2 linked regions of the Sus scrofa genome follow. The protein of the gene in region 1 binds, or shares a complex with, the protein of each later gene. Links are inferred from orthologs where the notes say so. Each region holds a gene or a part of one and is shown on either strand. Other genes may lie near its edges.

Region 1 (4,262 bases):
TTAGAGATGAGAAAACTGAGGTGACTAACATCTCCAAGGTCAATCAGGATTCAAATCCAGATCTGATTCCAAAGCCCAAGCTCTTAAGAAAGTGTCACACACTTTGTAAAGTGATGCTATACAAATTCACATAATTATTAGCAAAATCAAAGTACTGCCATCAGAAGGGCACCACGTCAAGAAATGGCTTCAATATTTATTAGCAAGTAAGTACAGTAATTAAGTCCTTTAATCTTATCTTTCCCATTTTATGGATGACAAAGCTATCATCAAAACCTTCTTACCTCACAGGGTAGCTGCTATAAATGCAATCAAAGAAGATACCTCCCCCAAGAAGAATGGCAAATAACTACCATATATAAGTGGAAGATTTACATATGGTATCCAAACCACATGGTATGCAAACTGCAAAGCAATGGGCAAACAAGTAGGGATGAGTTACTAGCGACCCTGAACCTAATGGTTCTACTGAACATTGTGCTACTTCTCTTAAACAGGCCCCGAGATATGGGAGAAAACGGTTTATGGGGTTGGGAAACAAAGGACAAAATTAAATATTCCAAATGGCTCTTACCTATGCCCACATCCCTGGTATCTGGAACAGTGCCTGGCATTCACTAAGCTCTCAGTAACTGCTGAATGAGAACTTCAAAAAGACCCTCAATCACCAGCTTTCTGTCCTCCAAGACACAGGCTCAAGCTCCCCCCAATAGGCTCATGTGCAAAGCAGGATACCTGGCAGTTCATGTTGTCCTCGGCTTCAATGAGCTTCCCTCGGTACACCTCTCCCGTGTTCGTCTCACAGGTCACAATGTGCCCCTCAGCCTCATGTAGGACTTTAATCGGCACACCAATAGACATCTCGGCAGGAAGAGAATTCTACAGAGAGAGAGAGAGAGAGAGAGAGATAAGAGTTCATGGTTCAGGGCCTGAGAGGCATGTGGCACAAGCCTCACTCAAGGCTGGACACTCTGTAACACTCAGCAAAAATGCCAAAGGCGTGTTTTTTTTTTTAACTTTATTTTTTTTGCTTTTTAGGGCTGCGCCCCCAGCATATGGAAGTTCCCAGGCTAGGGGTTGAATAGAGGCTACAGCTGCTGGGTTATGCCACAGCCACAGCAACACAGGATCTGAGGCACATCTGCGATTACACAGCTCACAGCAATGCCAGACCCTTAACCCACTGAGCAAGGCCAGGGGGCAAACCCACATTCTCATGGATCCTAGTCAAGTTCGTTAACCACTGAGCCAGGAAGGGAACTCCCAAAGGAACTTGAAAAAGTAGCTTAACCCCAGCTTGAAGAACATATCTAGCAAACAAGATGCAAGATTGGGTGGGGAGGAACAGGGGGGCTAGACAGAGGGAAAGCTAACAGGAATGAAAAGACTGCCTCTCATCTCCCTGCTACCACAGGTCCCTTTATCTTTATCAAATAACTATGTTGCAGCAGAGGGGGTTGGAAGGCAGGTGTACTTGTTAACCCAAAGCAGTGGGTAACATCACCTTGAGAACGTAGGACGTAGACCTGAGCTGTCCAAAACAGTAACCACTGCAAGTTCTGAAATTGAATAAAATTAAAATGAAATAAGGAGCTCCAGCTGTGGCGCAATGTGGTCTGAGGCATTTCTGGAGCCCTGGGACACTGGTTCGATCCTTGGCCCACCATAGTGGGTTGCTGCAGCTTCGAGGAAGGTGGAAACCATGGCTTGGATCTGATCCGTGGCCAGGGAACGCCATATACCTCAGGGTGGCAAAAAAAAAAAAAAAAAAAAAAGAACGAAAATTAAAATCAAGAAGAGTCCATGCATTTAATTCAACCCAGTAAGTGCTCTTTGACTCTCCATTTACTTCACCATCAAAGTTAAAGAGAAAATATCAAAGTATTCACAAAGTGATAATGTGCTACACACAGGAAATGCTTATCTTGGAGAAAAAAGGGAATCAAGGCAAGCCTGACTTGACCTTAAAAGAGGAAAGCTGTCGGTTTTTAAATTCCAAAATGGTCAGCTGAAAGGTGGAATACATCTCCTGCATAAAGAGAAAAAGGAAGAGCAGTGAAAGAGACAGGCGCCCTTCGTGAGAAGCCTCAGAAGTGTAGATTTTATGCTGAACGCAATGGGAGAACCACGGCAGGACTATAGGGAAGGAATTATCCCTGGGAAAGGCAGCAGCACTTACAAAATGGTTCGAACACAGCTTAGATGCAGGGAAACTTGAAAGAAGCTTGTGTAACGGTGTAGAAAGCATGAGGGGGCGGATGGAGGCAGGGAAGCAAAGGACTTGGGAAGGAAGCAACTAGCCAGAAACGACCTCAAGACCATTGCCTGGATGCTTCGAAAAACACTGGCCTGGGGAGGTATGGAAACTGAAGGAAAAGCTAACGACCTCACTTCCAAGCGCTAGTGAGGCGACACTGTCTGGTGGCCCGGCTTCCCGCTCCTGTCCCTCGGCGAGCCCCGCGGAGCTCCTCGGCAGCGCGTCCTTCTCCAACCCTCTACTCCTCCGAGTGCCTCGGCCTCCCCACGCCCGCCCCCAGCCTCCCCTCACCGCCTGAGGTCTCCTCCTCCTTCCCGGTGCGGCCGCGACTCTGCCGACTGCGAAGCGTGAGACAAGCGAATGGCGGGTCCCGCGCTCCCAGAATACCACGCGTTCCCAAAATGCCTCGCGCAGGGCCCGCCCTCTTCCTTTTCCCAGTGGTGAGCGCGGTCTCGTCCTCGCTTCCACCTCACCCCACCGGCTGGGAAACTCGGTCTGTGGTTCAAGAGTTCCGGCCCCGGAAGACTGATGACTGGACCCAGGTGCCGCCGGAAACACCGACCCTCGGGCCGGCAAGGGCAGAGAGGGACTCGCTTTTCCAAACACCTCACACCGGCGACGGGCTGGACGGCGAGGCGGGGATCGGGGGAGGCAGCGGTGGGGCCGAGGGCCAGGACCTCCCCTCACAATTTAACCTTCGGAACCCGGCAGTGCCAGGTAAAGGGACCCCTGAGCGGAGAGGGAGACAGGAGCAGAGCGGGTGCCGGCCCTCGGCCGTCCCTCCAAAGAGAGTCGAGGTGGGGCTGGGTCTCCCGGCCCCGAGGCTGGCGGAGGAGTAGGACCTGGCAGAGGCGGAGCTTGCCGGGGGCTCTGGGGAGCCCGCGTTCGTGGAACTCCCGGGCCTGGGCGGGGCTTCCGGGGAGCGGGGCGGGAAGGGCTGCGCGTCCGCGCCAGGCCTCGGAGGTCGGGGCGGCAACCCTGGGAGCTGACACTTTGAGCGGCCGGGACCAGCGGAGACAGGAGCCTGGGAGCCTGAGGGCTTGAGGGCCAGAGGAGGCGGGGGCGGGCCGGGGCGGGGCCCAGGGCGGACGGGGCGGGCCAAGGCCTGGAAGGGCCGGGGCGGGGCTTGGGGCGGCCCAGCTGCCGCCTCCCCTTCTCCCCACCGTGCTGGCAGTGGCGGTGGCGGCCCAGGAACCCGGGGACTAGCGGCCCCGCTCCCGCCCCAGACGAGGCCGAAGCTGCAGCCGGCGCCGGGCCGGGGCCATGGGAGCCCCGCGCCGCCCACGTCATGAGGACGGAGGGGGAGGCATCGGGGCCGCCGCTCGAGCCCGGTCAGTGCTCCCTGAGGGCTTAGCCCTCATCCAGGGGAACAGGGGGGCCCACCCTAGCAGCGGTCAGGGTCCGGCCGCGTGACCTTGGACCGACGGCCGCCATGTCCTAGGCTGTAGAGCTTTGAGTGAAGTCTGGCCAGGTGTACACCCCGCCTTGGCTCCCGCAGCGCCAACCGCGGTCTGCTGGGGTTTCCTGATACTCCCAGGGCTGGAACCCCAGGCAGCTCTGATGGCGGTCTTGGTGGGAGGGTCCTGGTTGAGAGGCTGGGGCGGCAGCTTCCCCAGAAGCGAAAAGTCCTGCTGAAGCTGCCGTGAGAGATCCTGTCCCCTCGGGGAACTGAGGCCTAGAAGGGCAGGGAACTGGCAGGGAGCATAGAGCAATGGGGGAGGCCCCCCCCCCCGGCCTCCCAGACTCAGTGTTTTGTCTTGCTAGAGTTCTTCACTCTAGTTCCTTATGTCCCAGGTGGCCTGTGTTCCCTTGCAGGCAGAAACCAAAACTCAGGTTGTGTGTGAACCTCGGTTTGCTTTGCTAAATTGGGGAGGGAGAGAGCAGTAATTCCTGCTCTGGTTAAGGCACAGGGTTGGTGAGAAAGGAAGTGCTGGTAAACTCTAAAGTGAGGTCCCAGCTCCTGGGAGAAGTCAAGAGCATGTGGGAGCCTGACCCTAAGGAATCA
Region 2 (2,892 bases), on another chromosome or scaffold:
AATGGCAAGGTATGATATATCTGGATGGTAAATCCACAGGTATGCCTTATAATAACCTCTATGTTTCAGAAATGAAATATTTGTTATAACCAAGTTCACACTTAAGGGGGAAGTTTTTTTTTTTTTTTCCAATTTTTGGTACAGGCATTTGATCCCAGAGGGAACTGTTTTACCACTAAAATTTTTTAATAAAAATTATATATATTTAAGAGGTGCAACATGATTTGATATACATATACACAATAAAATGGTACCACAAACTAATTAACATATTCACCTCCTCACAATTTTTAGTATTGATACAGTATTAACTATAGTTAACTATAGAGCTCTAAACTTACTAGTCCTATCTAACCGTAACTTTATACCAGAATAAAGATACTTTAAAGTTATCTTTCTCCCAGTAAAGAATTTATTTGGCCGTCATACAGGTTTTTTTAATCCATTCATCAGATGTTTTTTGAGAAACAATCTCTGCGAGGCTCTGTGGCTAGCATAACAGAAGCATATGATACAAGACATCATCTCTTTTTCATTAATATTTTTAAAAATATTACTATTTGAATTTATTGAACTTCGCATTTTGGGGTTTTCTTTGTGGATTTCATGCTACAAATAGATCAAGTAGATAGATGTCTCACCCTCAAAAAAAAAAAAAGACATCATCAAAAAAGTAGTTTTTCTCAAGTAGTTTGTATTCGTGTGGGGAAGTTCTTAAACCAAAAACTGGATATAAAGTGATAATAACAAAGAGATGTACAGGATGAAAAGAATTTACATCTGTCTGGAGTAGCCAAAGTCAATTTCAGGGAGATACTTTCGAGCTGACTTAAAAGGGAGAAGTGTTTGCCAGGGGAACAAAAGCATTCCACGCAGATGGAACAGCTCGTACAGAGAACTGGAGAGAGCAGCACGGGAACGTTTGAGAAGTAGAGGCTGAGGGCCTGTAGGTGGGGTGAAACTTGTTGGGAGGATGTCAAAATTAGAAGCTCAAAAGGAGGAGCCTGTTGTGGGGGCCTGAATGTGTCGGAACTGGTGCTGTACTTAGGTCACTAGGCGGGAAACGGCGGCCCCGCAAGCGATGAAAGAAGTTTCCACACAACTTGTAAGAGACATGGCTGGGGTCAGACCTTGAGTTTCCTGACTTCAGGGTGATCCACCCCTGGTTGTGAAACGGCTACTGTACCCTCTGTAGCTCCGAAAGCGGAATTGCACAAAGAGCTCCTTTCCCCAGTTGCTTACAGCCTTGTACTACTTGTTTCCCACTTCCTCTCGGCCCCCCATCCGCCCGAGGATGCTTCCTGCCTCCCAAACACCGCAGTCCATTCAGTCTCTCAAACCCACACACAGAGGTCCCAAGAAGTCTCTGCGAACCAACCCTCGGAAACCACAAGTCCCAGCATGCAAAGCTCCTGTTAGAAAAGGGCCGCTAGATGGACCAGCATGCAACGCTCTGCGAAGGAGGCGGGGCTCTCTATAGGGAAGGCCCACTGGTAGCGTTGCCGAGGCAACTCCAATTCCGTGACAGAATACACTTCCGCCTGGGAGGCCGGGGACCGCGAGTCGCGCTGCTTTGTCGCTGTGACGCCATCCACCTGCGGCCGCGCGTGTACAGAGGTTCCGGCGGGTGGCTCCTCTCCGGCTTGAAACCTTAGAGCGGCTTCTTCTCGTCTGCGGCTTCTGACCTGCGAGCAAAGGAAAAAGCAACGAGATGACAGACCGCTACACCATCCACAGCCAGTTAGAGCATCTGCAGTCCAAATACATCGGCACCGGCCACGCCGACACCACCAAATGGGAGTGGCTGGTGAACCAGCACCGCGACTCCTATTGCTCCTACATGGGCCACTTCGACCTTCTCAACTACTTCGCCATTGCCGAGAATGAGAGCAAAGCGCGAGTCCGCTTCAACTTGATGGAGAAGATGCTGCAGCCTTGCGGCCCGCCCGCCGACAAACCGGAGGAGAACTGAGACCTCACCGTCTCACCGCTGTACGTGAGCACCTCTCTGCGTTCCTCCGGTTTGTCGTCATTCCCGCGGGTTCCTCTCCCAAGTGGACGGATTCTTCATAGCTCTGCTTTTCGTGCTTTCTTTGTACAGAGGTCCTTACCCGGGGCGTTCCGTCCGACCTGCCTTCCTGTGGAACAAAGTGTTGGGAGACCCGTCATAACCCCTGAGAAACTGAACAGTGGAGAGATCCTAAAGTCTGCAGACGTTAGAGGAGATATGGCTGGAGTGAGATGGGATTAAGAGGCTCGTTTTTGGCTAGTTGACTGTCTTCGTTGCTTTTTCTATAAAGTTTAGAAATGTTTCGGTCTCTTGGTGTGGACTACTTGTGTTCTGGTGGAGGGGCCAAGGAGGGCTCTGGGACTGTGGTTTGCCGGGTGGCGGGGGGTATAAAGAAGGGAAGGGTTGGGGAGGGGTTCAACAGTAGCACAGGGCCAAAGTTCGTTGCCAGACACTTAAATACGCTCTTTATAATATTCTCCAACCCTGACTTCTCCCAGGAACTTTTCTCAGGCCCTTAACACATTCACTATTGAGGTTTGTGATCACTGTGTCCTTTTTCTTTCATACAAAAAAAAAAAATCTTGACTCGCTTTGCCTTCTCTCTGTAGATTACACCTCTTTCTTTTGGAAATACGTGGACATATCTTGAGTATTGACAAACTGTCAAATTAGTTCTTAAATTCATTCAGCAAATACGTGTTGAATTTTATGTGGCAGGCTTTAAGGACCTATATTACACTGGTTGGGGGAGCAGAAGACCACAAAATTTGCAGACATAAGCAAGCACATGTTGGAGGGTGCTGTGGAGAATGAGAGTAGCAGTAGGGTTGCAGTTTTAAGTAGAATGCTCAGGAGTTCCCATCCTGGCTCAGCGGAAACAA

Evidence for each region. Proteins that work in one complex are often made in the same cells at the same time.
Region 2: SNRPD3 (region 1) and SF3B5 share a complex: the UniProt entries of both Homo sapiens proteins name them as parts of the minor spliceosome. The link is inferred for Sus scrofa from reciprocal best matches to the Homo sapiens genes SNRPD3 and SF3B5.

What each region holds. Positions count from the first base shown.
Region 1 is NC_010456.5:49,584,171-49,588,432, reverse strand, and holds the start of SNRPD3 (small nuclear ribonucleoprotein Sm D3), read right to left. Parts: upstream 2,947-4,262; 5' UTR 2,549-2,946; intron 2,516-2,548; exon of another isoform or gene 2,387-2,515; intron 1,560-2,386; exon of another isoform or gene 1,505-1,559; intron 880-1,504; 5' UTR 862-879; coding exon 736-861; intron 1-735. Other genes in the region: protein GUCD1, read left to right, coding at 3,546-3,588. UniProt on the Homo sapiens protein: Plays a role in pre-mRNA splicing as a core component of the spliceosomal U1, U2, U4 and U5 small nuclear ribonucleoproteins (snRNPs), the building blocks of the spliceosome.
Region 2 is NC_010443.5:21,229,697-21,232,588, forward strand, and holds SF3B5 (splicing factor 3B subunit 5), read left to right. Parts: upstream 1-1,567; 5' UTR 1,568-1,711; coding exon 1,712-1,972; 3' UTR 1,973-1,992; intron 1,993-2,101; 3' UTR 2,102-2,318; downstream 2,319-2,892. UniProt on the Homo sapiens protein: Component of the 17S U2 SnRNP complex of the spliceosome, a large ribonucleoprotein complex that removes introns from transcribed pre-mRNAs.